Alligator mississippiensis: one gene and its partner. The main gene of each other region encodes a partner of the protein of the gene in region 2 in a complex. Links are inferred from orthologs where the notes say so. Each region holds a gene or a part of one and is shown on either strand. Other genes may lie near its edges. The genes, in order: SARNP and THOC2.

Region 1 (16,352 bases), on a different chromosome or scaffold from region 2:
GGCCCCTGACAGTCAGACTCCTGGGTCCCATCAGTGACTCTCGCAGTGTGTGGGGTGTGGAGGCTGTACAAAAGCCAAGAGGATAAGAATTCTCAGGGCCTTTTCCCAGCGCCATCATGGATCCTTCACCCAGACTAGGAGGATGGCAAGTGTTGTCACCTCTTAAGGACATGGCAATGCTTCCCAGCTCCCAGCAGGGAGCTGTAGATTCATGTGTGTCTACAAAACACTTTGAGAAGCTTGGGCAAGAAGCAGAGATGTGGGACGGGCTACAAACCTACAATGCACCCACAATCCATTGTCTATTTCTCACCAGCTCTTAACCGCAACATTCAGCTCCTGCCAGAATCCCCAAGCCCAACTCTAGCCCCAAAGTGCTTTACTCCTTTATGGCTATTTGCGTACAAAGGCTCACTCTGTTCTAGTTCATGGGACAGTCACAGGCAACTGTCACCAGGTCAGCACCAGCACGCCCTGCTCAGGATCCATTTCAAACGCATGCTTCTTTAACAACGTGCAGTTGGCTATAGCAGGGACCGGTAAAGAGACTAAAAAAAACTAGAATAGAGTGGGCGTGCTCCAAAGTTTATGCTGTGAAAACAGGGCTGAGGTTTGAGGTAGAAAACAAAGGAGGAAGAGACAAAGTTCGGAAGTTCCCAGGCTAAATGAAACGGCATCATCCTCCTCCAAACAACTCCCATAAAACAGCGGGTCATAACCAGCCTCATTAAGGGCTTCCATTTAGAGACATGTGCTGCTTTTGTTCCAGATTCCTGCACAGTTTATGCCCTGAAAGGTAGTAATGGTTTAACAACACTTTCACAGGAAGCAATTCTGAACAGGAACCAGGAATTGTTACCCCTCCGGCCCTCTCTGCAACTCTGTTTCGGACACAGGCAAAAGGCGCCCCCTGCTGTCCAAAAATCAAGTACTGAATCCCTGTCTGATTGAAGCGGTTCTGCCGAGGAAAGTTACTGCCTAATCAAATAAAGTTTATTTTTCCCTCCTGGCTTTCAAATGTCGGCAACAGCACTCATGCTGGCACCTTATACAGCTATTCCACGCAGAGGCCGAGGTCCCAGGCAGCCCAAGACATTAGGACGTGGCTTATGTTTAGCTGAATATTAATCACCAGGATCATCCATCTCGTTACAAAACTTACACCCAGATGGGCCAGAGAAGACGGGGTCTAAGAAAAAGGAGCCATCTGAACTACATTACCCACACAAGGCAACACAGAGCTATACTTTCAATGCAGAAGCACTTCATTCATCCCCCCTACGTCAGCTTCCATCAGGCAACACCAACAGCCTTTGTGTGTGTGTGTACATGCAAGTGGGCAGTCAGGGTGACACCCACCCCCTGCAGAGGGCCAGCACGAGGGCTACAAATTGCTCAAGCACTATTCTGATAGCTTTACTGAGGCTTTGTTTTGGCCCTCAGCAGAGAAGCACATTTCATCCCCACGGCATTTCATCCCAGTGCAAAACAAAAGTGACTTTGTCCATTTCCCAGTCAACCAGAGGTGCCCAAGAAGCTCCTACTCACAACCTGCATGCAGTAACTGGCAACACATACTCAAACATGTGAGATCAGCTGAGCAGGAGACTGAGAGAAAGAATCCAAGTCCAAGCTGCCGCAGCAACACTACCTCCACTGACAGCCTCGCACAAGCCACTGTCCCTCTGCGGCCCTGCTCTGTATCCAACAGAACAAGGAAGGGTTTCCCTGCTCTGCCTTCCAGGGATGGACCAGGGTCAGAAAAGAAAGGTGAAAGCACTACTGATTCCTACTCAGCTTAGTTGTCAGGGTTCACCAGGTAGAGCACCACTTTCAATTCATCTCTCTGCACAGACAAGATACATCGTTGCAAAGATCAAAACCCGAGGATTCAATTCCTTTGCACTTTCTGGCAGTAAAATCTCCATGCATGCTGTATCTGCAGCAGTTGCTAAATCACCACCCTGAGCTGCCAACAGCTATGGATGTGGATTGGTAAGAAACCTGTACTGAGAACCGCAACAGCAAGTGCTTGTGAGGCTGGATACTAGCACAAGGTTGTGGGAGAAGCACCATGACAATGCACAAGCGAGAAAAACAATTTATTAGCTGGCTCCTTCTCTCTTGCCAGAACCATGGGTCACATGAGCAAAAGGGGAAAGAGATGCAGGGTGATGGGAGGAGGAGCACCAAGCCAAGTCAGAAATAGACAGATCACTCATGCTTAGCACTGGCATCCCCAAATCCTTCACAAACCTAGCCCAGCATCCCTGAAATGCAGCCTGCTTGGAGATAAATGGCAGTAGCCAGTACAGCAGGGATGCGAGGGCCAAGGATCTGGGAAGAGAACCCCACTCTTGCAAAGGATGTTAGCTAACTGCAGAGCAGAAGGGACCTCTGTTTCGAAAATCTCCTGAATATCCACACAGAGCGAAATGCAGGGAAGCCACATCTCTGCCAGGGGTCCCAAGGCTAAACCGCCCTGCCTGGAGGTGAGCCTGCAATTCCCAGGTGCCCCAGGCTTTTCACAACTGACATTTATTGCCCCAAGCCACAGATCTGTCCTACTGGGTTACTGTGATGTAGGCTCCTTGGACGCACACGGAAGGGAATGGGTTAAGGTCCACAAAATGCTACCAGCTCCCTTCCTAAGCACTCTCTTCCTGAGCTACAGCCACCCCAGCCCATTTCAGCCTACACAAAATGGATAGTTACACATCAGCTTCTTTTACAGGAGGCTCTTCTACTTTGACAGGAGGTTCTACTGGCTTCGGCTCTTCTTCCTGCAATTCAATGAGTTGAGATGGTGAGTCAGATTAGTATTCCAAGCAGCTGAGTAAGTGCCAGAGGCGCTGTATGGGGGCAGTCAAGACTGGTGAAGCTTAATGGGTTTAAAAGCAAAACTGCATGGGAACAAGCTCTTCCATATTCCATACTGGATTCAACAGGCCCACGGCCCATCAGTCACATTGCTCCCTCGTCATCTCAGCATCAAAGCCAACATGCTTTCCCCTGTTCCTTGAGGGAGAGACAGGCCCTGGGGATCTAGCAAGCTACAGGGGAATGTAAACCCTTCTAATATTAGCATGCTTCTAGCAGGGCAGTTTGTTGCTGGAACTCCTGTCTTCTGCTGCAACTGGCTGGAAGAGCTGAAGCAAATGCTCCGAGGAGCATTTGTTACAGAGGGCTGTTGTCCAGAAATCAGATCAGGACACCTAAGCTCTGGCTCCTTGGAAAGTGCAATACAGCCTTCCATCTGGGCATGCCCCACCAACCCACATGCAAATATGAGAGCACACTTTGGACAACAGAGCTATGTGGTGGCACACTATGAGGATGGTTACATTGGAGAACTGTAAAGCTCTATTAATAACAAGACTTAGTTTCACGTGCAGTAAAATCACTGGAGCCACCTGAAATGATCTTCCGGGTGGTTTTAAATGCCCACATTTTGTATTTTGGACTATGCTTATATTTAACAGCTATGAAATAACAAGCGTAGGAGTTAATGAAAGAAAAGGCTGAGATATATCCCTGGCTTCTCTTTATGACTGGCTCAGACTTAAGGATATGTAAACTGTAAAACTTCAGGGCCTGATTCTGCAGTCATCCTGGAAACTGCTGATAGGTAGAGTTACATGGTTGCTTCAGTGTTTGCAGGGTGACAGACTTACTTTAATATTAGCAATCCAACTGTTAAGAACCCAGCATTTAAGTCTCTCACTGGGTTTCTTACGTTTCAAGGCGTTTTACTAGCTAAACACACAACATATGTACAATGACTGGCATCAGGTCTGCTGCTGGTGTATGCAGGTGAAATACTAGAGCCACACCTCCTTGCATCAGTTCTGAATTTTAGCCAAGATGCCACAGGCCAGAGATTTTGTTGGGCTTGAAGACAACTGCCAAAATTTTGTGTCTGCAGTATCTTTTGTCTTATCAGGCTTTGGAACTAGGAGATAAACAAACTGAGTGATATTAGTTTTTGCAACGCTATTGCCACACAAGAAGCCTCCAGCTTCCTGAGTACAGCAAAACCCGCGTTATCTAGCACCTTACAAACTGTCACGCTCTATTAACCATTTTGCTCTATTAAACGGCATGCCGGTTTGTGAGGTAAAAGTGAAACTGGAAGTGCCCACCATGGCATTTCTGGTTTCACCGAGCACCCACAGCCCAGGGCAAAGCAGTCTGCGCTGCCACCCCTCCCTGTCGCCCGGCACACTGACGCGGCAGCAGGGGCAGTGCACACCGAACACAGCAGGAGGGGTGGGACAGAGTAACCAGCCTCTCAGATAACAGGCATGTTTGGTTATCCGGCACCCCTCATTCCTCATGGGTGCCAGATAAAGCTTTGCTGTACGTGGAAAATGCAGTTGGGATGAGCACCTTCTCAAAGGAGAGAGTTGGAACCAAATGATACATATGACCAAACCCCAGCGCCACGTCTGCAAATCTCATTCTAACCTTCTACTAGAATATTTTTCTGCTGGAAACAGGAAAGATGGGCAGAAAGCTTTAAGTACTTAATGTTAACCCACAAGGGTGGGCCTTCACCAACTTGGAAGGAGCCTGGCCCTAAGGAGAAAGAGAATTAGCACTGCCAGGTGCAATCACTCATTTCCATGTTTTCCAGCTGATAAAATTTGCTGTCCAGGGGTGATGGTGGCCTGGGGATATGCCCATTTACTTCCTACCCAAGGCTGGTTAGGAAATGTGTCCAATTCTGTAACACGAGCCAGGTTCTAAGATTATGCCTTCCAAAGAGCCCTGCTAGTAACAATGTAAAGTACACCAGAAAGTTCCACACAACAGTGAAGCAGATCCATTACCTGATCACAGTGCCAGAGACCAGACAACATCAGGCAAATTAGAACAGAGCTATGCCCAAAGACACTGATAGCGTGATAATCTTGTGGTAATAGGACTTACCTCTGTTTCTTCTCCCAAGACATCTTCTTCATTAGCCTCTTCTTCAGCTAGAAGAATTTAAAAAACATCCCACAGATAATTGCTACTGCAAATCAACAGGCTGGCCTGAAATAGAACTTGGATACAGACTCCTAGAATGCTGGTGTTCTCCACACACACCAAGAAATCAGTGCTGAGAGGTTTCTATTCAGGTTCTTCTTTCAGGTAGCACTGTGATACCTGATTACATATAAGACATGCACACTGCAGCACTCTAGAAAGTGCTGTTTAAGGCAGTAGCACTGGGAGCAAAGGAAAAAAAAAAAAAGAGCCTAACCTTAAGATGGGCCCAGTCTTGCTCTGGCTCTCCAAACAGTACCATCACTGTATGGGAGCTCTGTCTGATTAACACCTGCTGGATGGAACCCAACAGCAGGAATGCTCCAAGGACCACGATGCCAAAGAGCTCTCTCCTCAGAGGCTGCAGCCCTGAGACACCCAGTCAGCATTCTTACAGCAAGCCCAAGCCCAGGAAAGTTGACTCCAGCAGAAAGCGTGACCTACCGTGCTCCTCAAGGTATGCCTGGAGTCTGTTTATGAGGTCCTGTTTGTTTCCTTTTGCCTCCAGGCCACGGGCTGTACATTCCTGTTTCAGTTCAGCAAGCTGCATGAGAGAACAGCCTTCCTGTTAGTACACGTCACCCATGTGAGCCATGAACGGGCTAGACCCAAAGCCAAAGAGGGACGTCAAGGGCATGGTCACTGACAAAGGAATAGCAACACGGCCAGCTGGTCAAAGCAGGGGGATTACAAGCCTGGTTGCCTGGATTCCTCCTAGCTTTGATAACTCTCTCTACATGGCAGTCACCAACTGCTGAAGCTTCCTTAGCCTGACGAAGGGTTTTTGAACCCGAAAGCTTGCTTAATAACTATTCTCCAACCATTTGGGGTGGTCTAATAAAAGATATCAAATTCACCCAAGGAACCTTGTCTGCCTATGTCCTTAGATCAACACGGCTACAACCCAAACCCCTCTACATGGCTATAACACTTACTTAACCCGCTCCCCTTCCCCCCCACCAACAACCAGGAATCCACAAAACCAAGTGGCCATGGCACAGTGCTGCCCTAGACAGAAGTGAGAACATCTCATACAATTTCTCCATCTCTCAATTTCCAGTATTCTTCCTGTGCCTTCACTTCCCTCCATTAATAAAACTCCTCAGACCCCAAAAGTTGAGCAGGAGCTCAAGGAAGACCAAGGATTTACTGTAAGTAGAGGACCTGATTCCACGCTGTCTCTCAGCATGACAGGCCCGCTTTGCATCCTGTGGGTTTTATGCTGTCCTGAAAGCAGAGTTCACACCCCACGTGAAACAAAACTGGCAGAGGAGTTACATTTGCTTGCTGTGTGTAACAAAGCACCTTTCATCACACCTGCTAAGGGTAACTAACCTCCACGGTCATGCCAAAAAAAAACCAAGCTCTGAAGACCTGGCAATTACCTCTTGCAGCACCTAGGCACTGTGTTAATGAGCAATTGCAAAATACGAAGATGGTGAAACTTCACAGGAGACAGCATGGCATGGCATGGCAGAGGCTCTGGGGGGCCTGCGCCGAGGTGGAGCCGGAAAGCAGGTTTATGAAACTTGCCCTCCGCCGTGTCAGTGATTTGTCAGCGCCTCGGACAAGATACTTCATCCCTCTGGGACTTGGCTTCACCCAATGACATAAAGATACGTCCCTCTACGTCACAGTCCACACAGATTAAGGTGAAAGGCCACGTCTCTAGGAGATATTATTTATTCCACCGTACAGGATACGCGAAAAGAAAGACAGCCCTCAGATCACCGAGTCCACCCGCCAGGGCTCAGCACAGCACTCCCCAGAGGACCCTTTAGCCAGTCTAATTTTCGGGGTCTCAAGCAGGCCCCAGGGCCTTCCTCTCGCTCTCTGCAAGACCGTTTCACATTCAGAGCTAGCCACTGCCAAAGTACCACATCCCCTCTGGTCTTTGGGCGCGTCCGCAATCGTGACGTATCCGGGGAAACGTCCTTATTCTCCGACCAGGGATGCACCGAACGCCTCTGCACACCTTGGCACAGGTCCCTTGCTCGCAGCAACCAGCGTTTACCCTCCCTATAATCAGGCCCTTCCCAAACCGGGCCGGTCCCCAGACAAGCCAGCAAGAGTCGGCTTTTGGGAAGCCCACGCAGAGGAGCCCACGGGGGCCGCGAGAACAAAGGTCCACGAGCGCTGCGGGAAACTGGCCTCGGCTCAACTTCCCCCCTCCGCCATCTGCCACCACTGAGGCCAGCCCAGCTCCATCCCCCCCCGCAGGGAGGTGAAGGCTGCTCTTCCCTGGACTCTCTCCAACGTGTCCTCGTCCTCTCCGCGCTGGCGCCCGCCCCCGGACACGACACAGACGAAAGGGTCGCGAACAAGCTTCAAACATGGATTCCCCTGAGCCAGCCCGGATCCCCCCACTCCGCCCGCACCTTCAGCTTGTGCAGCTCCACGGTCTCCGCCGCCATCTTGTCGCCCCCTCAGCTCGCCGTCGCCCGCCCCGCCCCGTCCCGGCTCCCCGGCCCAATGGAGCCCCCGCTTGCTACCGGGTCGGCGCCGCCAACCTCGCGCCTCGCCATTGGCCCAACCCCGCGGCTCGCTATTGGCCTGGCTCGCGCGATGCGGGGAGGGCGGGAGTAGGCCCGAGTGGCGCCCCCATGGACCAATAGGACGGCGGGTTGGGTACGGAGACGACCAATAGTGGCACAGGGGCGGGCGCAGGCACTTCCTGGAGACGGAGCCCGGCATTGGGGGATTCCGGTAACCGGCGCGGCGCCGCCAGGTGGGGGGAAGGGAAGGCGGGAGGAGGAGGAGCTGAGCCCGGACTCCTGGGTCCTTTCCCCAGCCCACTGCGGGGGCAGCACTAGGCCTGGGCGCCTGTGTCCCCCCCACCGCCTCCAGCACCGGGGCGGGGAGCAGCACCGGGTCGCAGCCCCGCTTAGGGCGGCCCCTTCTCCTGCTCCCAGCTCGCTGGAGGGGATCGGTCGCGCCCAGACCGGGCGAGAGCCGAGGGGCCTCGTGCAGGATGAACGTGGGGGTGGCGCACAGCGAGGGGAACCCCAACACGCGCGTGATGAACAGCCGCGGCATCTGGCTGGCCTACGGGATCCTGGTGGGCGTCCTCCACATCGTCCTCCTCAGCATCCCCTTCTTCAGCATCCCCGTGGTGTGGACCCTCACCAACGTCATCCACAACCTGGTGAGGCGCCGCGGGGGCAAGGAGCTGGGGGGGGGGTCCCTCTCCCCGGGGCCAGCCCCCCCCTTACATCCGCTTTCCTTCTGGCGCTGGAACCCCGCAGGCCATGTACTGGCTGCTGCACACCGTGAAGGGGACCCCGTTCGAGACGCCGGACCAGGGCAAGGCCCGTCTCCTCACCCACTGGGAGCAGATCGATTACGGCACCCAGTGCACCTCTTCCCGCAAGTTCCTCAGCATCTCGCCAGTAGTCCTGTGAGTGCCGCTGCGTGCGGGGCCTCCCTGCCGTGCTGTCCCCTTGCCGGGCTCTGCAGGCCGGGGCGGCGCCCGAGGCTGTTCATGGCGTGAGCGTGGGAGGGCTCATGGCAGGGGACACGTTCCCCTTGCAGAGGCCGCTGCGATCCTGAGGCAAGTCAGGCCGTGGCTTTAGCTTCAGTTACTCATCGCGGGAATGGTCAGTGGGACTGGGCCCAGCTCTGATGCCCAGAAAGAGCAGGTGTTTTCTGCTCAGAGCCAGGAAAACTGCCTGGCCTGGTCTGCAGCGAGCTGTTGGGCCTTGGGCCGCATGCAGGGGTGCCAAGGAGCAGGTTGCACTTGAGCACTAAGTAGAAACACCGCAGGGCCCGGCCTGAGCTGCGTGGCTCCTGGGATGATTGCCTCGCGTGGAGGGCTCCAGTCTCTGCCAGTCCTGCCTCCCTGCCAGACTCTGGCAGGGCACTGAACCATCCTCGCTGTTCTCTCCTAGTTACCTCCTCACCAGCTTCTACACCAAATACGACCCTGCGCACTTCATCATTAACACAGCCTCGCTGCTCAGTGTCTTGCTCCCCAAGCTGCCTCAGTTCCACGGGGTGCGCATCTTTGGCATCAACAAGTACTGAGACCCAGCCTAACTTCCACATTGCCGCTGCGGGGAGGGAGCAGGACCATGTGGACATCTGGAGCAGCGTGCACTCCGCAGGGAGCAGACGAGGCCAGCGAGGGAGCAGGACTGCCTAGTGCCTGCAGCGCTGCTGTTTGTTGGGGGAAGTTCCTCTCTGAGCCCAAGGCAGCCAAGCTGTCTGAAGCGAGCAGAGTGTGTAAGCTGCGTCTGCACGGCCCCTCTGAGCCAGCTGAACTTCCCAGAGCCACAGGCTGAGGGGAGAACTGCCCAGCTGGTGGAACAGCCACGTTGCCTTGCCCCCCTCCCCCCCTTTTCTATGTTCCTGCCATAATAAAGCCATTCAGGACACTAGCATGGAGCTGCTGCAGGGGCCGGGGCCGGGGCAGTGGGCTCAGCGCCTGCATGGGCTCAATACGAGCGCCCAGAATGGGACACGGTCACTTCAGCAGCCTGGAGTTCACCCCAGCACCATGAGTGCAGCAAAGTGGCTACAACCACGTGACCCACCAGAGCTCTTGTTTTACTAAGGAACCTCTGCCCTGCCGGAGCAGCGCCTGCACAGGCTGAGTACGGTCTCCTAGCCCCGTCCTAAGGCAGCAAGGCCATCAGGTGCCCCTTTCCTAGGCAGGCACTATCCCTGCTAGCCAGCAAGGGGCAGTGGCAGCCTAGGGAAGAGAACTCAGCATCTGGCTTCATGCTGGGGGGGGGGGGGGGGGCCCTCCCACAGAGCAGGGAACAATGAGGCTCACACAGTGGCAGTGAGGGGGAGGGGAGCTGGCCTGGGCAGGCTGCCAGAGAGACTCCATGGACAATGGAGACCATGCAAAGTTCTGGGAAGGACAGAGTAGCTGCCCTGCCCTACCCCTTGCTGGCCAAGTTCCCCACCCCCACCAGGCTCCTCAAGCCCAGCAGCATGCTTTGTTCTTTCCCTACGCCATCCCCACTGCTAAGCTCCAGCACCCTGGCCTCCCTGTTGCCCCTCCCCCCCACCTCTGACCGATTTGCTGGCAGCCAAGACCAGGATCCCAGTGGCACAAGTGTCCCTGGCTGCCACCCAGGCAATTTCTGAAGCAGGGAGCAGAGTGAGTTCCCCTCTGGGACCTGGTCCTATAAACTTCTACTGAACAAACCCCAGTCCCTCCCAAGACTTGCACTAGGACACCAGCACCTTCACCTACTTCCATATCAGGAACCAGGCCCCTACTCTGCCTCAGGCCTTCCCACAGCCCAGGTGGTGCTTGAGGGAGTAGAGGTTCCAGCCCAGGGCACCATGTCTGACTCTGCCCTTCCTCACTGCCCGGGCACTCAAAGGGGAGCAGGGAGTTTGCCTTGGACTGTCCTCCTCCACCCGCAGCACAGACACACACCAGCTGGGCTCCTGGAGACACTGGCGCTCCCCCAAGCAGATTTATTTGGCGCAGGTGGGGAAGAAACCATTTATGTGCCCCCATATGCCCACTAGAGGGGAGCACAGGACCTGCAGGACATCCCAGTATCTCTGGGGACAATACAAAACCACCTCTAGGTCCCTGGCCGACTCTGCTCCCGCTGGGACAAAGGGATTCCACAAACGCCCTGGCAGCTTGGGACACAGAAGGAACAGTGCACGGAGCTCTTTGGTGCTGGCCCCAGGGAAGCTGCTCCCAGATGCTTCTAGCTCCAGAGAAAATGCAGGTTGGTAAAGAAAATAAAATATAATAGGTTTTTTTTTTATTTAAAGAGCCCTTATAGTGCCTGGGGAAGGGCACAGTCTCCCCGGGCCCAGGATATGCCTGGCTGCCCGCCTGCCACTCGCAACAAGGGGCTTAATCTCGCTCGCTCCCACAGGGACAAGTCCAAGCTGCCTCCCTCAGCGGTGGAAGGGCCGACGCACTTTCTTCCGTCTCTTGGGCTTCGCATCCCCCTTGGGGGCAGCACCATCTGTCTTTGGGGGTGTAGCTGCTGCCCCCGGCGGCGGTGGCTGGGATGGGTTGAAGAAGCCCCCATTGGACATCGGCCCAGGGCTGCCCTGGAAGATGCGGCTGAAGAAGTCTTGCAGGTCAGCGGCCGAGGCGGGGCTGCCCTTTGAGGAGGCTCTGGGGAGAGAGCAGAGCAGTCAGGCCCAGCATAGGGGGAGGGGAATCAGAGTTGATGTGGGGAGCCCTAGGCTGCACCCCAACCTGCCGCTCCGCCACTCCACGGTCATTGGAGAAGCAGGGCCACTGCTGGGCTCCCTAGGGCCAGATACGTTCAGCTCTGTCCACACCAGTCCCTAAGTTAGATGCATGCCCTCCCCCAGGCAGTTGATAACATATGAATACAGCCAACAGCTTATAGGGAACATCCCCACCTGCCCAGGCAGCCTAAGCCAGGACCCAATGGCCTGCTTAATGCACCCCCAAGCAGCCGCATGGGGCAGGGGAGGGGCAAGCAGGTGCTCACATGGGACCCCAAAGAGCCCCAAGGTCGTAATCACACTCTTCCCCTCTCCCACCTGGACTCTGGGACACTGCAAACGAACCAGCCGGCAACACCCACCTTTGGCGTCCACCCATGCTGGAGCTCCTGGAACCGAACGATATGTGGTAGGGGACACGGTGGGTGTTGGGAGAGATTGGGACACGCTGGCAGCCAGCCCATTCTGCAGGGACAGAGAGGCACCATCAGCTGGGTGGGAGCTGTCCCGAGGATGCAGCGAGGGGAGGAGAGGGGTACTGGGTCTGGCATGGGAGATACAGGATAGGGCAGAGGAGCCGCAGCCCAGCTGGAGTCCAATACCTGTGATGTCATAGACCTTCCTGTCCATCACAGCGAAGTAAGTGATCTTCAGTCCCAGCAAGCTGGACTCGGCCCAAAAGTCACCCTCCTCAGCAGGGTGCAGCGTACCACAGTCTGCGCAGTAGCGGGCACTCAGCGGGTCCCGGTCCAGCTCGAACCGTCTAGGGCAATAGGCAGCTCTTTCAGAGCCCGGGAAAGCACGGATGGCCTCAGGCTAGGCAGCCAGCCTGAGCACCCTCTGCCTCAAAATGTTCTAGAGGCCTGGGATGGGGTCCCAAGCCCAGGGGCAGGTTGGGAATCTGTGCCCTGAGGCACTGCAACCTGTCCAGAGCAGGGCACCTAGGCACAGCCACTCTGCTCAGGCTCCAGCAGTTGCCCGGCTCTGGAGCTGAGGAAATCAGAGCACCAGCCCTGTCCTCTGGGATATGCGCTCACAAGTTAGATCTGCAGTGCTGGACTGCAGCAGGGGGACCCTACACAGAGCCCTTCTTGGGGGCAAGGAGGGCTCTGACCTGCCCAGGAGTACCAGCACCTACTTGTGCTTCCCCTGACACCGGCTGCACATCATGGTGTTCATGGCCTCCTTTAGGTCGTCCTGCAGCTTGGTTAAGAACTCATTCATGGACTGGCTCAGCTCGCTCTCCGCCATCCGCTTGCTGCCATGAGAGCAGGCAGGGGTCAGGTCCCAGCCCTGCCCCCCGACACACACACTGGCTGGAGGCGGCAGTGACCCAGGGCAGCCACCAGGGCAACTCAGAAGACCCAGAAGCCAGGAACCCAGTCCCTCCTCACCCCCCAGCCCTCAGGAAAACAGCCGGCTCGGTGTCTCAACAACTGCTGGGTCACCATGCCTTGCGCCACCCACACCCCTGGCTCTTCCCTGCCTTGCCTGAGCAGGCAGCACCCGGCACACTCACAACTCATACTCCTTCCTCTTCTCAGGGTTGCTCACAACATCCCAGGCTGCCCGCAGCACCTTGAAGGCTTCCTCTGCCCGCGGGTGCTCATTCTTGTCAGGGTGAACCTGGAAGCATGGGGATCCCAAAAAGCACAACTAACACCTGCCGGCTGGGGGCTGGCCAGTGAAAGATCCCCTTTGGGGGCAACCCAGGAGCCCCCCATCCCATGGTCAGAGCCAGTATGGGCATGGAGTTACACCCAGATCTGGCACTTAGTGCTAGATGTGGGCAGCTGCCATTCCCCAGGGGCATCACCAATGACTGGCTCACATGTGGGCCTCACAAAGATTCTGAGCCCCTACTCCAGCTCTTAGAGGGGGCCCTGGGCAGGTCAGTGCCTTGGCACATCTCGCTCTGCAGCCCAGGCCACAGTAGGGAGAGGCTGAAGAGCCGCAGTGCCCAACTCAGCGCTCTCACCCCAGCAAGATGTGGCCTTAAGGGGACATCTACTGCCTGAATATGCCCTCCCCTTCCCGCCAGGTCGCTCTCACCAGCACAGCTAGCCGGCGATAGGCCTTCTTCAGCTCTGCATCTGTGGCCGTCACCTCCAGGCCCAGCACTTGGAAGGGGTCCAGCTCCTCCTCTGGCACCTCTGCCATGGCCAGCAGCCGGGCCACCTCCTTGCCAGACTGGCAGTCCCCGGCTGCGCTGGACGCACCCCTATCAGGGCCAGCCTCTCCTCCCAGCCCCTCTGTCCTGAGTTTTGGGGTGTCCCAGAGGGGAGCTCCACCCTTCCGCAGCCAGCCCCACACATACTTGCAAGTCCTGGTTTCCTTGAACAAGGTCCATGTCCTGTGCAGGAAGTGTGCATCTAGGTGCGCAAGCAGCCGTGCCACACCATGGGTCCCACCTAGCTTACCCACCCCCGCCAGCAGTGCGCCCTTGGCGCTGCACCAGCACAACCGCAGACGGGCCAGGCCCAGGCCCAGCATCGGCAGCAGCAGGGTACAAAGCATCCGCAGCAGCCGGCATGCCTTAGTCCCCCAGGAATGCAGGATGCACCCGGCTTGGGCTACACTGCCCACCATCCTCCGCCACAGCTGCTGGCCCCACGTCCTCACACTGGCCTGAGCTGAGCTCAGGTCCCAGAGCCAGGGCAGCAGGAATATAGGAGCCGCGCCCTGGCCTCCACGTATGTGCGGCACTTGTGGGTGACTAGCACCAGCAGGTCGACAAGTGTCCAAGCGCAAGACAGGCAGAGCCGGACCAGCTCCCCTGCGTGCCCCGGCTCCTCGGCGCGAAGGTGGAGCCGCCTGTCCGCATGGCTCCTCCTCTGCGTCTGCTTGTGCCTTGTGCCCTGCCCTGCCTTCCCGTCCGGTGCTCTCTGCCCCCTCCTCCCTGTCCTTGGTGGCAGAGCAGTGCCTCCGCCGTCTTCCACTCCTCCGGCAGCCTGGTCCCCGGCCGGCATCGCACAGGTCATTGGGGGCCCCAGATGTGCCATTGTCCTCCTCAGGGTCCCGCCACAAGCCCTGTGGCTTCGGGTCAGCTCTGCCTTTTGCACCAGAGGCCTCCGAAACCCACCGCTGACAGCTCGCACTGCATGAGCTGTTCCTCTTCTCAGATAAAGCCTGGGGGGGATCCATGTTCTCTCCTCAGCAGCCACAGGACCCGGCCAGCTGGGGGCCAGGGCTGCCAGAGCACAGAAAGGGCACGTTGTCTTCATCATCCTCAGCTGAGAAGGGCCGCGCTGGGTCACAGCTTCTATTCCAGCTGTCGCTCCCATCCACAGCGTAGCCTGCGCTCACCATGCTGGGTCCTGAAGGGGTCAGAAGGGGAGAACAGCCGACTGCCAGCCCATTCCCCTGCTCCTCGGCCGAAGGTTTGTCCAGAGACAAGTCATCTTCCCCAGGGGCTCTGGAAGCAATAACAGCCGACCTGCCAGCCCCAGCTAGTCCCAAACCGCGCATGGTTCTTTGGAGAAGCTTTGGCCAGGGCTGGCTCAGAGACAGGTGTGCAGAGACGTGTTCTCTTCTGCTTCCCAGGCAGAGAATGGCCTTCAGGAACGCTGGGCTCCAGGAAGATGGGGGGGGGGGGGCAGGGACACGTTCTATATGACCTCAGCAGGGGTGCTCGATCCACATGCAGCAGCTGCCCCCGTGTCCGACGCCCAGCTGACCCCTTGGGCTCCCATTCTCAGCCCCATCCCCTGCGGATCAAAGGGAAACAGGTGAGGCCACGGCTGTCCCCTCCAGCCGCCAACCCCCACCCTCTCCGCCTGGGTCTCCCCCCGCCCACGCTCGGGTCCCGTCTCCCAGCCCCTCCGCGGCCTCCGGCTGAGCCCGAAACCACATCCCTCTTGGCCACGAGGCCCCGGGGGCCACGCGGGCAGCGCCTGGGGCAAGAGCTGCAGCCCCCTCCCCAGTGCCCAAGGGCCCCCCCTTCCCCAAGAGCCCCCCCACTTCCTGAGAGCCCCTTGCTCGAGCCCCCCCTTACCCAAGAGCCCCGGCCTGCAGCAGCTGGCCCGCGGCAGCCCCGGGGGTCCCCTCCGCCAAGGGACCCTTCCGCGCCGTACTTCCGCCTTCCGCCCGCCCCTGCCAACAGCTACCTTCCGCTTCTGGGGTAGAGCTCGCGAGGCGAGGGAAGGGGACTGTGACGTCACATCCGCCCGCGCCTCTGCCCCGCTGCTTAAAGGACCCGCGCCCCTTGCCGGTTGGGCGGGAAACACCTCCTAACTACGTCACCGTGTGTCCCCCCCCCCCCCCCACGGGCAAATTGAGGCACGGCCCCGCCCCTGCACCTGGGCGGGCAGACGGCAACAGCCGCGTTTCCCAGCCCCCCTCACAGGGAGAACCCAGGCGGGGTCCCAGCCCCCCCAAGCCCCCCACTTCTAGGGCAGTGGGGCTCCCAGCCCCCCCCGCCCTAAATCACCCCCAAAGGGGTGGATGGGGAGACAGAACCCAGGCGTCTGGGCTCCCAGACCCACCTCCTCCAGGGCAGCCCACTGTACCCAGGCGGGGAGGCCCCTGCACAGTGGCCCTGGCCCTGGGGTGACCCTGACCTGGGCCCAGGGCTGCCCCGGGCGTGCAAGGCCGGCAGTGCAGGGCTCGTGCCCTCTGCCCCGCACCCGGGCGCACACAAGCACCTCTGTCTGGCAGCTCCGAGTCTGAGCTGTCCCGTTCCCGGGGCCGCGGGCAGCGCTCACCCCAGACCAGCCTGGGCCTTGGAAGCCACTTCCGCGCCCCCCGAGGGCTGGGCGCAGCTGGCGGCCTAACAGCCCGGACACCTGGGTTCTGCCCCTGCTCCGGGAGGGGATGGGGTCAGGGCCCAGCCGCCTGGGTTCATCGCCCGCATGGCTGCGTGAGCTGGGGCGACCACTTCCCCTTGCCCGTGACTCAGTTTCCCCTTCGCGAAGGTGGGGAAGGAGCAGACCCGGGTGGGTGGCTCTGAAGGAACCCAGCAGTCGGGGCCTCTGGCCAGCCCCGGTTCCGGCGCCCAGGGACACTCTGCTTCTCCAGTTACCCAGATGCTGGCGGGTGCCAAGGCCCAGGCACTGGGGTGGGGGGAAGGAGTCCCTGGGCCTGGCCCAGCTCAGGGGGAGGGGGGCCGGGGAGAGGGTGAGAAAATCCTGCTGGCAGCAGGC
Region 2 (15,668 bases):
GGCTCTGACTGTTCCTCTTTTGCCCAGGTTACATTGATTCAATTTAGTTAGCCAACTTCCTATTTCAAGTCAGGGACAGTCTTTTTCCATTTGTTCCTTTTGCTGGGTACAGGTCTTGACCACAATTCAAGCTCAGCATGCAGTTTGAGCTGAGCCCAAGCATCAAACCCAGACCTAAAGGCCTTTGGATTCCAGCAATTCCCCCCTGTGACAACTCCTCCATGGAGGGGTTATCACACCAATGTACCTCGTCTTTGTGGAGCGTATACCTCTGTTCCTCCGATATAAAGACTCATAGTGGGGGTCTAGTAGAGGTTAACACAACCTCTGTGAAACTGATAAGCTTGGCAGTATGTCCAGTCAGTTAAAACAACAACAAAGATGACCATAGCAATTTGGGTTATCTCCACAGTGGAGTGAAGCATTAGATTTAAAACTCCTTGGGCAGTAGGGCTCCATCTCAACAAAACTGCCCACCGAGAATGTCTTGGGACTTTTTCCATTACCTGCAAAACTTTTTTATTATTATGTTTAATCTGTACTATGGTTTCATGACTGCGCTGTTTAATAGAATTTACCATGGCATGCACATCGGGATGAGACAAAACTTGTTTTAACATTGGCAAATTTAAACCTAACTCAACTGGAGTAATGGTTTTATAAACCCATAGTCTAGCCCGGATACTCTGTCAGCCAACAAGGCACAAAGTATTTGAAATTACAGCTTTTGGTAGATGAAACATTACAAAAACTTTGGTTAATGGAAAATGTCATTAAATACAATCAAATTTGATCAAGCATTACATAGCGAGAATGTGTTCGTATACAAATACACCCTTTTTCAGCATGAACTACTGCAGAATGGTTTTCACTAGTCATGTCAAAAACATATTGTTGCACATCATGTTGCTCATATAGATTATGACAGGGGCAGGCAATTATTTTGGGCGTAGGGTCACTTACTGAGTTTTGGCAAGCCATCGAGGGCTGCATGATAGGCAGCCGGGGCAGATAAATATTAATTTTCTAAATTTTTTAGGGGCCCCGCAGGCCAGATAGAATGGCCTGGCGGGCCACATCTGGCCCCCAGGCTGCATTTTGCCAACCCCTGGATTATTATCTTTACACACATTCCACATCTTCATGAGTCAGGCACACTTTCATATTACTTGTTTTCCATGCACCCACTCTTTATATGCCCACTGGTGGTGGTATCGTGGATACATGACAAGTCCCTCACTAACTTGACCCACCGACACCAATGGGTATATAGTAATTTGAGAATTAGCATCAAGTGACTATATAAGTAACAATTCGTTGTGCTTCCTCATAGACAAAAGAGATCAACTTCCACAAAACAGAAAGGTCCCTTTCTGCCACAGAGGTGTGATCCCACACAGTTTTTTTCAGTTCAATAGGAAGGTGACCCTGAAAGCCTGAACAAAATATTTGGATAACTGTACTTTGACTTAGGACCTGTGCCTGGATGCAAGCTAGTGGCAGGGAGACATTGTATCAAAGTAGTGTGCCAATGGCAGTGATAATCACTTGATTATCCTCTGTAACATGAGTAGAATGTCTCCCACCAGTTCGTCTTCCTAGGCGGGATAATGATCCAACAAAGGACCTTCTAATCTTTTGTACTTCAGCAGTAGTGTAGCTCAATTTGTTTGCCAAAATTTTGATATTGGCACTATCTATAAAACAGCTACTTCAAGTCCTGCTCTAGCAACTGTGGTCAATAGCACATAACACTTTGTTCGTATGTGGACTTGGGCATTATTAGTGTTATCGGGGTTGCGCAATACCACCCGTTTCCTCTTGTACTCTCCTGCCACAACTTTGGTCTTATGAGGGGAGGAAAGAGATTGGTATGAAGTTAATTGGTACTTGCAGGATAACTTCCCCCGACATGTTAAGTCACTCCGCGTATTTTTTATTCTTTCTTTTACAGCGGCCCGAGTTGCAGGCAACAGCCTTGTCAACTTTCTCCCAGAACCGCTCGTCAGCTCTGGAGTGGATTCCTTCCCTTGGGAACTTCAAGGTAAGTCCCACCAGTGCTCCGTGGTGCTAATTAACTCATTAGCTAGTGCAGCTACAGTCTCTTTGCACTGTTGCCAGCGTAAAACCCCGGGCAACTCTTTTTTGGTTACCCTTCCAGGTTTGGCTGGGGCTGGTCAGTATTGCCTGTGCTCAGCCTCCCTCATGTTACTGAGACTTTCCCTGGTTTTCTCTTCTTCTTTTCTCACGCTGCCGCTCCCTGCCGGTAATTGATCGGTTTGCGGCTGCGCTCATTAAGCCCTGCTTCCCGATTCCCTCCTCAGGGTTGGTTTCGAGGCCTCACAGTTCATCAGCCTTCCTATAAAGAAACATAAAACAAAGAGCTCCCCCCTTTGATAGGGAAGTTATTGTAGCCTTCAATTAAAGCTAGCCATTTAATAATTTTACTTTTTGCCATTTTTTATCCCAAACATCCAATGATAGGCTAGATAGCTTATAGCTAGGGTACCAGCAGCCCTTAATGAATGTGGGAGCTGGCAATTTTTCAATCACTTCTACCCACTAGGCACCTGGAGTTCGACCGTGCCATTGATTCCTGAATATATTACCCCCTGCTGTACTAGTTGAGGTTTTTTGTCTGTTAACTTTAAATCCTGTATCTTGAATAATTTATAATAGTGCACAGATGACTTCATAAATTCTTGCATGGGTCCATGAATTAAAACATCATCTACATAGGGTATAACTGCAGTTTAGTATTGATCGGGCAACTGTTCCCACATTTCAGCTTATTTTTAGCCTACCCCTTTGGGTGCTGGCTGGCTAACATTTTTTAACATCCCCTGTTCAGTCCCAAGGCAACTCCAAAACCTGATTTATTTTAAAGGCTGCACACTGTTGCCCCTGAAGAATTACATGTAGATTAATTATTTTTTGCTTCCCTGTAAAAATAAATGTCTTGGTTTGGTAAAGGCATTTTGGTTTCCTTCTCATTGAATCCTTTAATACTATATTTGCCTTCCAGAATTGGAAAGGGGAGGTCTCATTACTTATAGGAAAAGAAGCACCTGTACTTACTAACACATCTTGCCCAGGGGTTTTTTTGTTTTTTTCCCCTTTGCACAGTATAACAAGCATTTTACTAACTCAATTGTTGGAAGGCCATGGATTTTTCCTTTTGTGTAATGTTACATGGGAAATGCATTTTAGCCTGCAAAACAAAATTAAGAAACTGCCAGGGCAGATGCCTCACTTAACATCTGGTTATAATTATTAGGGTTTTGCCCCGTTTTCAAGCCTTTGATTGTGATGTGTGGACCCATTTCAATTTGATTTCCTTTCTCTTTGACTGTATTTTAATTTGATATACAGTAGGACTAGCCTTATTTACAATTATGGCAGGTCCAGCCCTGATGGAGCACAATACATGGTTTTTTCCCCCAGTAAGCCTGGTACATGACCAGGGCACCAACTTTCCATTTGACAGGTTTTCAAGTGGCCCAAATTGTCTGTCCATCTGATTACATTTTACCTTTAAAGCTTGGGCATCTGCATTTTTTTCTGCCAGTCATGGCTTAGTAGGGAGTGATTTCATGGGCAACTGTTGTTTTTGTTGCAAAGCCCTAATCTTTGTCAATCTTTGTCTTGTTGGCTTACTACTTTTCTTAGAGCCAATTTTTAAAGTGCGGTTTGCCCTTTTCACTTGTTCTGGCCACAGGAGAAACCCTCCCCCGTTTGGCAGCAAGGGACCCCTCCCCCCCGATTGCTGACTGTCCACTGGGGGTGGTAAGTGCCCCCCCAACTCAGAAGGCACCAGGCGCCCATGGACTGAGGTGAGGCTGACTGGTCTGTAGTTCCCCAGATTCTCCTTCTGCCCTTTCTTAAAGATGGGTACTATATTTGCCTTCTTTTAATTGTCTGGGACCTCTCCCAATCATCATGAGTTTTCTAAGATGATGGCCAGTGGCTCTACAATCGTATCAACCAGCTCCCTCGGCACCCTTGTGTGCATCGCGTCCAGCCCCATGGTCTTGTACAAGTCCAGCTTTTCTGATTAGTCCCTAACTTGTTCTTTCACCACTGTTGGGTGCTCACCTTCTCCTCAAACTTTGTTACCAGGTGCAGCAGTCTGGGAGCTGATCTTGTCTATAAAGACAGAGGTAAAAAAGATATTAAGTACTTCAGCCTTTTCCACATCATCTGCCTCAGTCATTAAGGGACCCACAGTTTCCCTGATCTTCCTCTTGTTGCTGACATACTTGTAGAAACCCTTCTTGTTACCCTTCACGTCCCTTGCTAGCTGCAACTCCAATTGCACGTTGGCCTTCCTGTTTTCATCCTTGCATACCCAAGCAATACTCTTATACTCCTCCCTAGTTGTTTGTCCAAGTTCCCACTCCTTGTAAGCTTTCTTTTTGTGTTTTAGCTCACTGAAGAGTTCCCTGCTAAGCCAAGCTGTTCTTTTGCCATGCTTGCTAGTCCTTCCTGCGCATTGGGTTCCTTCAGGTTTCTTTAAAGTACAACCAACTCTCTTGGACTCCTTTCCCCATCAGACTGGCCTCCCAGGGATCCTGCCCATTAGTTCCTGAAGTGAGTCAAAGTCTGCTTTTTTGAAGTCCAGGGTCCATACACTGCTAATCTCCTTCCTTCCTTTCCTCAGGATCCTCAACTCAGTCATCTCGTGGTTGCTGCTGCCCAAATTGACATTTACTTCTACATCCCTCACCAATTTTTCTGTGTTTGTGAGCAGTAGGTCAAGAAGAGCATAGCCCCTAGTTGGCCTCTTCTGCACTTGCACCTGGATATTGTCCTCAACACTCTCCAAAAACTTCCTGAATTGCCTGCGCACTGCTGTACGCACTCCCAGCAGGTGTCGGAGTAATTGAAGTCCCCCATAAGAACCAGGGTCTGTGATTGGGAAACTTCCGCTAGCTGTTTGAAGCAAGTCTCATGCATTTCATCCTCCTTGTCAGGTGATCTATAGCAGATACCCAACGTGACATCATCCTTGTTGCTCTTCCTTCTGTCCCTAACCCAGAGACTTTCAACAGGCCTAACTTCAGTTTCATACCGGAGCTCTGAGAAATCATACAGTTCTTTTATACAAAACGCAACTCCTCCTCCTCTTCTCCCCTGCCTGTCCTTCCTGAACGGTTTGTACCCATTCGTGACAGTGCTCCAGTCATGCGCGCTTCCACCAAGTCTCTGTTATTCCAGTCAGGTCATCGTTCCATGATTGTGCAAGGATTTCAGTGAAAGTACATAGGTTATACTGCATTAGAAAAAGAATTGTGTAAGAAATCATGAAAGTGGCCACATAAAAATAAGCTTGAAATGTATGCATTTAGTTCAGCTTTTTAAAAAACTGGCACATCCACTAGTAATAAATAATTGACAAGTTTTGCATAAACAAGAATTTCCTAATGTTCAGCATTACTGTCAACTTCAGGACACTTTTGTAAAATGCAGCTGAAAAAATCTGAAAGTGACGTTTTTTCTGTTCACCAAATTGATTTCTAATTTTTCAGGCACAAATCAATGGCGTACATGACCAATCCTATTTTTGGCAAGTCATATCTAAAATCAGCAGTGACAGCACATGTAAGGAATGCAAAGAGCTCCTAGTGCAATAAAGAGAAGCACAGGCAACATTGCTGATTAATATTTACCACTTCCATGTGTTTTCCCTGGGAGTGACTGAGATTTAAAAATCAAACCTCAAAAAAACAAAGCTAAAAGTTTATTGTTTAATGCTCAGATCTTGTCTTGTCCTTCAGGGCGCTACGTTTGCAACAGGACTTCCACCATGAGTCTTTATAATTTGCAAAACAGTCATTACAGGCAACCTCCGCTTAGCGCTGTTTATTGGTTCCCGAAAAACCAAGCGTTAAGCGAAACCGAACGTATTTGATGACCCACGACCACAATTGTTTTTAATGACCCGAGATGGTGACCGTGAGCATTATAACGAAACTCACTGAGTGCTAAGTGAAATCAGGTATCAATTTAAAATGAACATTATAGTGAAATAGCACTAAGCGAAAGTGTGAAGTGGGGGTTGCCGCAAGTCATTCGATTGGGAACACGGGCCCACACAGCAGCGGTTAATCCGGTGGCGATGTGTAGGGGTGCATCCCCTGACCGGCTGCACTCTCGGTGTAGGTGACAGGCAAGCGGGGCAGGCGGGAGCGTTGGTGCTCCCCCTGCGGGCGCCAGCTCGGGAGTGGGAGCGCTGTGGCCGCTTCCTGGTCAGTGTGATCGGCCGTGGGGGACCCCCCCATTGGTGAGATTGGCCGTGGGAGGACTCCCCCCCATTGCTGACTGGTCCCTGGGGGGGCACTTGCCCCCTAACTAAGGTGGCACCAGTCGCCCATGGGCTAATTAACCTTCCCCATTAGTAGGGGGGCTATTGGGTAGTGTTAATTGAATGAATGGGATGAACAGACAAAAGAGGGAGGGGAAGGAGGTCGATGGCTCAGAAGGGGTGCCCCGAAGGGCTGGGCAGTGGGAAGGCGCACGCCGGCCACCTTGCAAGCGACCCCGAGGAGCCGGCGGACGCGGCCCGGGGAAACCGGCTGGAGCTGACCAGGGACAAGAAAACGCCCCCCCGTCCCCAGGGGGCCTCTGGCCAGAGCCGCCATCCTGGTCAAGCAGCCCGCGAGCCTAGGCCACCACGGGTCACGACAAGCCCGGGCGGCCGTCAAGCTAGTCCGTTGATCCGAAACCGGACGCCTGTACAAACTCTGCTTTTCTCGTCAAGAGAAACCGGACGCCTCTATTTTTCCTCTTGAAGAAAAATCCCCCCTCCCCCCGCTGGAAAGATCATAGCATCCAACTGAAAAGACGCCGCCGTCACTCGCATCTCGGCCGCACTTCGGAGGCGGGAACACCACGGCACGAGCGCGGGGCTCGAACCCGCGGCATTGGCGGGGAGGCGGGAGCGGCGGCTCCCGGCGTGCCCCGCGCGCGCTTCCCGGCGTGCCCCGCGGCCGGCCTCTGACCCCGGCCGTCGCTGCCCATCCGGGCTCTCGGCGCCACACGGGGAAGATGGCGGCGGCGGCGGCGGCGCTCCCTGCCGACTGGATAAAGAACTGGGAGAAAGCGGGCAAGAGCGAGTTGTGAGTGCGGGCCGCTGCCTCCCCTGCGCGGCCGGGCTCCCCGGCTCCTCTCCGCCCCTCCCCGGCAGCGGCCTCTGCCCTTGTGCCGAGGCCAGCGGAGCTGCGCGGGGCGGGGGCGCCCGGATATCGCAGCTGCGTTTCATTGTGTTTCTGAGCAGCCCCCTGGTGTCACCACCCGGACCAGACGCTCGCGGCCAAACGCGCGCGGCTCTTTTTAGGAAGCCCCTTGCCCCCCTTCCCCCTCGCCCCCGGCTTGCTTCTCTGCCCGCCCCCGCCTGCCCCCCAGGTGAGGGGAAGGGGGCGCGGCTGGCTCGCCCTGCCTCCATTTTGGAGGGGGGAGGAGTAGCCTGGTCGTCAGGTCCCTGCATTGTGCGAGTCCTGGTCCCGTCCAAACTTTTTTTGTTTTGGGGAGACCAAAAAACTAGACGAGGGAGAAATCGTAGGTCTCTGGCAGCACTCGGAGTCTAAAGCGACGCTAAAGTTCAAATTACTTTTTAGCTTCCCCTGTTTTGGATTACGTCTTGACAGCTGAATTCATAATCAGATTGAGCCGGATTATGTCCTGGGGTAGATAGGTTTGCGGCCCTTTTGTTACAGATCGCTTATGTTCTGCTGTCGGTGGAGGAGAAAAGTGGATAGAGAGATGCTTACGAATGGGTATAGCCCACCTGGTTGCATAAAAAGCGTAGATGTAGATATACTTACACTTTAAATCTGCTGTTCCCAAACTCTGACAGCACACCACCGATTTAAAACAATACAACCTTAAGTACCACCCAGCACATTTTTCAGTTCGACCTTAAGTACCACAAGCAAAGTTTCGTCGTATTTCTATAAAATACATATTATGATATAATTATAGTACATCTCTTAATGCGTACCATATAGATAAAAACGCATGTTATAATATGAAGTAAATATGAAGTAATTATAGTACATCTCTTAATGCGTACCATATATAAAAAATGCATGTTAAAATATGAAGTAATTATAGTACATCTCTTAATGCGTACCATATATAAAAAATGCATGTTAAAATATGAAGTAATTATAGTACATCTGTTAACATGTACCGCTGACGGGTTGTCTGCTATGTACCACACATTGGGAACTGCTGCTTTAAGTCATCCATTTGAGTTAGGAGCTGTTTCATATGACTCGATATTGAGCTAACTGACTTGACGTGATCATATCTTCATTATAATTATTTTAAGATTGTGCATCAGTTGAATTTTCAGCAGTTGCTGTTGAAGAGATCAGGTTAGCCCGGCCTTTGCCTACTGAAGAGCTCAAATTGTAGGCCATTTGTTTAACACACACTAGTTTGTCTTAACTTTTTAAAATGTACTCTAACCTAACCCTTGGTACTTGCAGATAACATGTATACAAGATTTTGGTCCATTCACGATGATATACCAGTTTAACTGGGACAGCGTTTAAACTGTGTTTAAATTTTGTTTGGCAACTGTGTTTAAGGACTCCTTTAAAAAAGACCCCTTAAACTGAAAGTGATCTCTGATTATCTGTGTGCTTGGGTAATGAGGTTGTACAACATAGTTTCATCCAGTGTTTTAAACGTGTGTAAAACTTTTTTTAAAGTGAAAAAAGACAATCAAATATTTGTGAAGATTCAGTGAACAATGAAAAAGTCTGGTTTTGTTTAAAGTCTTTACCAAGTGATTTCAGAAACTGCTATCATTTTGAAACACTGATTTACCACCTCTGCTAACAAAATTAATTATTGAATGTGTTGACACTCCAAAATAAAATAATACTAGAGATGAAGGATTAGTAACTCAATCAGTTTTCCAAATGCAGTTCTATTTTATTTCTATTTGAAGACATGATTTCAGCTTTAAAAGAGCTTGCAGCTTAAATTTAAGGCTCCTAAATTGCACTGCACTGCTTTTGCTCTCTTTTCAGTTAAAAGTTTGCTCGTAAAGGGTGGATGGCATGTGAAATTTTGAGGGTCAATATGATGGTTCAAAACATTCGGGAACCACTGACTGAATTAAATTAAATTGTGTAACGGTAGGAAAAAGAGAGAGGTATAACAAGGATTAACCTTACAATTCTAGCAGGTAAAGTTAAGTGACAGATCTTTAGTTTATTTTTTTAAGAGGAGGCTTTTAGTTTCCAAGCAGTTTGGAATTCTGTATTTAAACATGATGAGACCTCTCACAAGAAATGCAAAATATCAGCCTTTACTTAACGAAAAACCAGAAATGAACAAGATGACCAAGAGTTGGTCAACAGGAAGAAAAGCTGAGGGTAGACAGGACAATTTTAATTGCTTGTCTGTAGGGTAGCATATGAAGTCTGACAAAATCAGTTTGAAATGGTATGTTAGTGAAGTTATTAGTTATCTAAATATGTTACTTCATATGCTGTAAATTGGTGACCTTAATTGCTAAACTGAAGCAGGGTGAACAGTTCGTCTTGCTTAGTGTTTTGACTGTGACCACTTCTTGTTGATTCTGTCTCTTTGCTTGCTTTCCATAACTTCTAGCAAGGAGGTAGTAGTCAGTTAGTTATTCTTTGAAACTGAGTGGGGGTTGGTGCTTTCTCATATATAACATTGAATAAAAGGGTAGGGATCTGTTATGCTCTAGATCTAGAACTTATATGTTGATGGCTCTTATAACATTATCTTAGCTTCTACAGCTACAAAAACTTTTGTTTTTAACTTGTTTTGATAAGCAAAAATGCCAAATGTGACAATGGAGCGTTCTAATACGCTCCAAAATGCAGCACCTGTAAACTGTTTTGAACTATATAATCACCTATAAATTTTGTATATTTTAAAGAAAAGTAATATTAACTTTAGCACTGACATCAGGTAACTGATGATAACAATTCTGGACGTATCTGTGGATTGTCGCTATTTAGCGTAATAATATCACATGGAGTAGTCTGAGTGGTCACAGGCATCCATGTTTTAAAATTATTATTTAGAGTAGTAAAAAAAAGTAAGCTTGTTTTAATGAGCTAATTTCTGACATGTAATAGTATGTCCTCTTTACATTTTCTATGCTGTTTGGCTCAGTCCGTCTCTGGCAGTTTTCCTGTTGAGCTGACCAGTATTGTCTCCTTGAACTTTTTCATCTGTATATGTATCTTGTCTTTAAATTGTGAGCTCACTGGCTTAGAGACTGCTTTTTTGCTGCACTGTATCTGTACAGCACCTAGCACAGTGAGATCCTGCTCTGTAACTGGGACTTCTGGACATGACTCAAATAATAAATATGAATAATGGCATCTTGATTTGTTTTCTGATAGGCTACAATGTATCCTGCTCTTTCAGTGTAGCTTTAATAAGCCTTCTTTGGCCAGCAGCTTATGCATTTTGTTCATCTTCAAAATAAACTAAAATAATTTATCAACCCTTTGAGTCCAGTGTTTGAGAATCCATCCTGCAGACACCTTAAGCTTGTCTGTGACCACTCACAGGAAGAGTATGAATAGTCTTGGTTAGTGCTTTATGCACAGTACTAAGGGTCAGAAAAACAGAGTTCTGGTCCCAGCTCTGCCATTCTACGTAGAAGAGCTATGCTGTTACTGTGTTGACAAAAGGACTACCCGCAAAAGTAAAGTTACGTATCTTTGTAGGTTTAGGACCTTTCTGTTGATTATTTCCATACACAATTTTTCTTCAGGGTAGGCAGGAGTGTTTTTCAGTGGATAGGACATTGTATTTTGTGCTAAGAAGTCTGAGTCCAATTCTGCCTCTGTAGCCTTCACTTCTGTTCTTCATATTTGCCTGTAACATGGAGATAACAATTCTCTCTAAAAGACTTGAGATCTGTAGATAGAAAGTTATTTATAAGGACTGCTGACATCTTCTTACAAAGTTCATGGTTCTGTCTGTGTTCATGGTATCATTAAAGAGACTACCCTATCCCTTAGTATTGTTCCTCAGGGAGTCTGTGGGTTTTATTTTTTGAAATTACTGAGTCTTCTGATTTTTAAGTTAAATTCAAAATGTATAATACAGTTTTAAGACCTGTTGCAAATGAATGAACACATGCTTTAGTGGAATGAAAGCATGGATAGACTTTAGATTTGTTCAATGCACTACAAAAATTATAAAAAATTCCTAAGGGGGTTTAATGTTTGTGTGCACTGGTTGGAGGCAGTACCAGTAAATTGAAGTGAGACCTACTTTCCTTTTAAAGCATAAAAAAAATATTAAAATACTTGGCTTTTTGTTCCAAAAGTCTTGGCTTTAGTCCCTTCAATATTTACTTAACTTTTGTTACATAAAAACACAAGGTTAAAATTGACCTAGTTGGAGAAAACTTTTGGGTTTGAGTATTAAAAAAGATTGTTTATTCCACCTTCCCCCACCCTCACACCCACCTTTGATCTCCTGTAAACCTTATATCTCTTTCACACTACATATGTAATATGTTCTTGCAATACAGCTCTTTGGTATAGGTGTATTGGGGGGGAATTTTTTTTTGTGGGGGGGACTATTTTGGATTGTCAGTCCCTAAAAAAATAATGAGGTGCATCACTTTAATAGTGACACTAGGTCTTACATTATTTATGCTATTCAGTTATTTTAAAATAATTTACACATTTAAAAATTTCCTTAGAAAGGGCTTTTATCTGTCTTGCGTTCATTGCATTTATTTGACTTATGCTTTGTCTCCTGTGTTCCTTAACCATAAAAGTAACCAATTTTGTTGACATCATTTAAACCAGGCCGTTATGTGCAATTTTCATGGCATCTTTGCAGCTTCTGGACTCTGTTCTTGCTATATATGCCTTCTGTTGGCCCAGGCCTTGCTCCTTTCTCCATTTGCTTTCTTCTTCTTAACATTAAAAAAAGAAAAAAATACTATGGTGCTTAGTATGTTTTCATTTTAAAGTGTTCTTAAATTTAGGGTGCTCAAAGATGTCAAATTCAGGGATGTGGGTAAAACTTCACTTCTAGCATGGCTTTTTGTATGTACTGCTCTCCCTATCCAAAGAGTAGCTTTTCTGGTGTGCATTTGCTCACACTAGAAATACTTTGGTATATTTATGCTGGTAGAGCAATACTAGTGTAGATGTGACCTGGTTTGTATTTTCAGTGTCTTAGACTTTGTCTACAAGGGGAAGTTTTATTTACCACCCACTTCCCTGCTCTCTCTGGAATGCTCTTGCTCTAGTAAAAAAACCCCACGAAAATAAATTTTATTTTCATTTTAGCTCAAACTCCTCCCAGACATTGTAACCTAATTTGAATAAAAGGCTTCTCTGTTGGAGCAAGAGCCCCTACATGGTAGGATCATTCTGGTTTAAATTTACTGGTATAACTTTTCCATGTAGACAGTTCCTCAGAAGAGAGTTTTGTAGCTAGTAAGTGCTAAAAAGAAATTGTGGGATATTTTGTTTTTATTTTAACAATCTAAGTTGCTGTTGTAATAAGGAGTTCTTTGTATATAGTTTCTTTTCAATGTATAAGTCGGTTTGATGGTGGTAGAATATGATTGATGTTGAGGCTTCATGTTTATGTTGTAGTCTTTATCTGTGAATACTCTGTGAGATGGAGATTAAAAATCGGGTTTCTGCTTCTGCACACAATATTATTCTTAGTGTCCTGATTATTTGGGAAGAATTTACTGCTGCCTGTACAGAACAAATTGAAATCCTTACTCCTGAATTAGGTATGCTTTGGTCTGGTAGGACCTATTAACAGTACAGTTGTGACTTGTCATTGCTAATGTCAGAAAACCTTTGCGTGTGTGGGCTGAAGGTTTGCCCAAATGAATCCTGTTGTCAGATCTAGAATTTAATTTCATTAGCTTTAAACAGAGCATAGCAGTGAATGCATGTAGCATTTAAGAAAAACTTAAGTAGGCCTAGATTAGATTGAGATCTAATGACTTAAAAATAGTATGCTTGATGTACCATTTTCTGTAAAAATTTAAAAAACCTATTGATCTTAGTTTTATAATGAATAGAAAAAAAATCAGCAGTGGTGAAAGAATAAAATAGACCGCCCTTTCAACTACCTTTAGAGCTAGACTTCCATATATGTTGTGGATTAAGTTAGAAACAATCTATTGTATTCTGTTCTGTAACTGTAAGACAGTTTGGGGTAGACTCTCACTTTTTGCAGCAGCAAAGCTCCTACAACGTAGTTGCTCTCTGTGCCTGCTGCTTGCATTATATTTAAATATGAAACTAGCCATTTTCTTAATGCCTTACTCAGCATGTACACCTTTTGGTTGTTAAATGGTTTCCTTTGATTGATGGAACAGCTGTTTGGGCCAGATTGCAAGGCAGTGGTATACTGGTTACAAACAACATAACTGACTGGCTACTTGCTAAAGGAGCTCTCTGTTTAAAAAAAAAAAAAATAGTGTTATTGTTGTCATGATATCAGGCATTGTTAGTATTTCACCATATAGGTTTATATAAATCAACTAGAAGAATATATATAGGTTTATATAAATCAACTAAGAGAATACAGTGATAATTTCCAGTAGGAGAGAATATCATAATTATACCTTCTACTACAGAGAAATGGCATAGGACTGATTCATTGTTCACATTCCTAAAAAATGTTGGAGTGGGATGTACCATACAAGGACTTGTAAGTTTAACATGTGTGTGTTTCATGAAATGTCAGGAATCTGATGTGTGTAGTCTTTTTTATAGTTTTATAAATGTAGAGAGTTACCATTTTATTCGTAGGTTGCTGCTTTTAAATATAAATTACAATCCTAAAGCCTGATGTCTCAATGAGAACATGTGATCACTGCTGCCTTGAGGAACTTCCTTGAATCAAAATCTGGCTTGTCTGCAAAAGTCTGTTGCACAGACATTTCAATTAACACTGTGCATATTTTAAGATGATTTTTTTTTTTATCATCCACCATCCATTTTTGTTTTTTACAATGCATACAGGATACAATGACAATTTAGAAAGCTGTTTGGGTAGACTTGCATTTTCTTTAATGCATTTCTACAAAATACTGTGGGCATTTAGAGGGTAAAACTGATCAGTACGTACTTCTCTTTCTATATTTTTAATTTCAGGTAAACATAAAGGCTTTATCAGTGTGCTTACTGAAAATGTTCATAAGGAAATCATGCTGGTACTTTTGTATTAAAAAATAAACACATTCTAGGTATTCATATGGTTCACAGTTCAATAACATCCATCACAAGGCTACCTGCTTGTCATTGTTTAATCATGTGTTAACGTAATATTCCCTTGCCTTCATTTATGTCTTTATGTTGCCTTAATTTCTCAGTTTTCTGCTACTGAAACTGAGAAAGTATAAAGATGAGGTCTGGAAGCCCTGGTTGTATATTGGAGGGAGATCCTGTTGTTCAACACTGACTGTTCTAGCTTTGTTATCAAATTTTCTGTTCAGTTTTGAACTTATTTTATAGTCAGTATTATCCAAGTGTATGGGGCAGTGCATTTTTGTAGCTGACATTTGGTCCTGATTTTTGTAATTTGAATTTCAAACAATATTTCTCTTATTTCAGTTTGCAGCTATGCCGCACTCTCAGTGACAGTAAAAGCCATGATATGAATTTCAGAGGTAAACTGATTTTTTTTCTTCTTGAAAGAAAGCTTCAATAATCTTGTAGAGGATATGTGTATAAAATCCAATCGTTCCATGGGTACATGTGCCTTTGTGACTTCTGTGATTATTAATGCACTCTAAGGAGGGAAAATATACAAATAGCAAAAGTTACTTGCACAGTTTCACTGTACCCCAAATCCTGATGAGAGAGCAATGCCAAGCTAGTGGTAGACAACTATTCTAGTCCATGGGTTAGAGAAGAAGGAAACTATCCTTCCTGTTCAGTGCCAAGTTCCGGACACACGGCTTTCGTTTTTTAGAAAACAACTGTTCCCTCAACAAATGTTCTCTCTCAAATTTGTGTGCAAGAAATTCTTGACATGTATCGAGGTAGCTACGTAATTCAGAGAGCAAACATTCGTGCATGTATTCAGTTTACTGAATGTTGAGAAATAATTCTCAGTTCCAAATTCCAGGAGGGGAAAAAATTAAATTTAAACATAGAATTTGGATAACTAAAATGGCCAGTAACAAACGATAGCAACAGTTTTGAAACATAAGTGAGAGAAATTGCATATTTGTTTCATTTCTGCTCTCCTCCCTTGGAAGAAGCTGCTCCACGTAACTGAGACCATGAAGGTGTTTGCTTTGTTTGGATGACGTCTGGGGATCTCGTTAGAGGAGTAGTTTTAGGAAACTATAAAAGCAGAGGGAATTCTTTATTGTGAAAAGCAAAGGGTCATTATAAATAACTTAGTTGAATTAAATCATTTACTCTTAAAAAATAATTAAAATTACAAAAAATAGTCCCCATGTCTGTCTAGCATAAGACATTGTTTTAAGCTTTGTAAGCTTAATGGCCTTAAAATCTGTTGAATTCTAGGCAATCCCTTTCCTGTATTGATTTTTTTCTCCCCCTCCCCCCACCAGTAAATTTGAATTTCAAACTTTCCCTGAATTTTACCCAGTTTAGGAGCTTATTTTATGTTTGCTCTTGCCTGAAAAACCTAATTAGATT

What was found.
Region 1: THOC2 (region 2) and SARNP share a complex: the UniProt entries of both Homo sapiens proteins name them as parts of the transcription/export (TREX) complex. The link is inferred for Alligator mississippiensis from reciprocal best matches to the Homo sapiens genes THOC2 and SARNP.

The regions. Positions count from the first base shown.
Region 1 is NC_081838.1:6,882,913-6,899,264, forward strand, and holds the start of SARNP (SAP domain-containing ribonucleoprotein), read right to left. Parts: upstream 7,503-16,352; 5' UTR 7,446-7,502; coding exon 7,410-7,445; intron 5,576-7,409; coding exon 5,476-5,575; intron 4,980-5,475; coding exon 4,933-4,979; intron 2,784-4,932; coding exon 2,716-2,783; intron 1-2,715. Other genes in the region: ORMDL2 (ORM1-like protein 2), read left to right, coding at 8,003-8,176, 8,277-8,428, 8,919-9,054; DNAJC14 (dnaJ homolog subfamily C member 14), read right to left, coding at 10,906-11,131, 11,574-11,676, 11,814-11,974, 12,350-12,469, 12,731-12,837, 13,264-14,355. UniProt on the Homo sapiens protein: Binds both single-stranded and double-stranded DNA with higher affinity for the single-stranded form. Specifically binds to scaffold/matrix attachment region DNA. Also binds single-stranded RNA. Enhances RNA unwinding activity of DDX39A.
Region 2 is NC_081831.1:71,264,862-71,280,529, forward strand, and holds the start of THOC2 (THO complex subunit 2), read left to right. Parts: upstream 1-7,010; 5' UTR 7,011-7,047; coding exon 7,048-7,118; intron 7,119-14,609; coding exon 14,610-14,665; intron 14,666-15,668. UniProt on the Homo sapiens protein: Component of the THO subcomplex of the TREX complex which is thought to couple mRNA transcription, processing and nuclear export, and which specifically associates with spliced mRNA and not with unspliced pre-mRNA.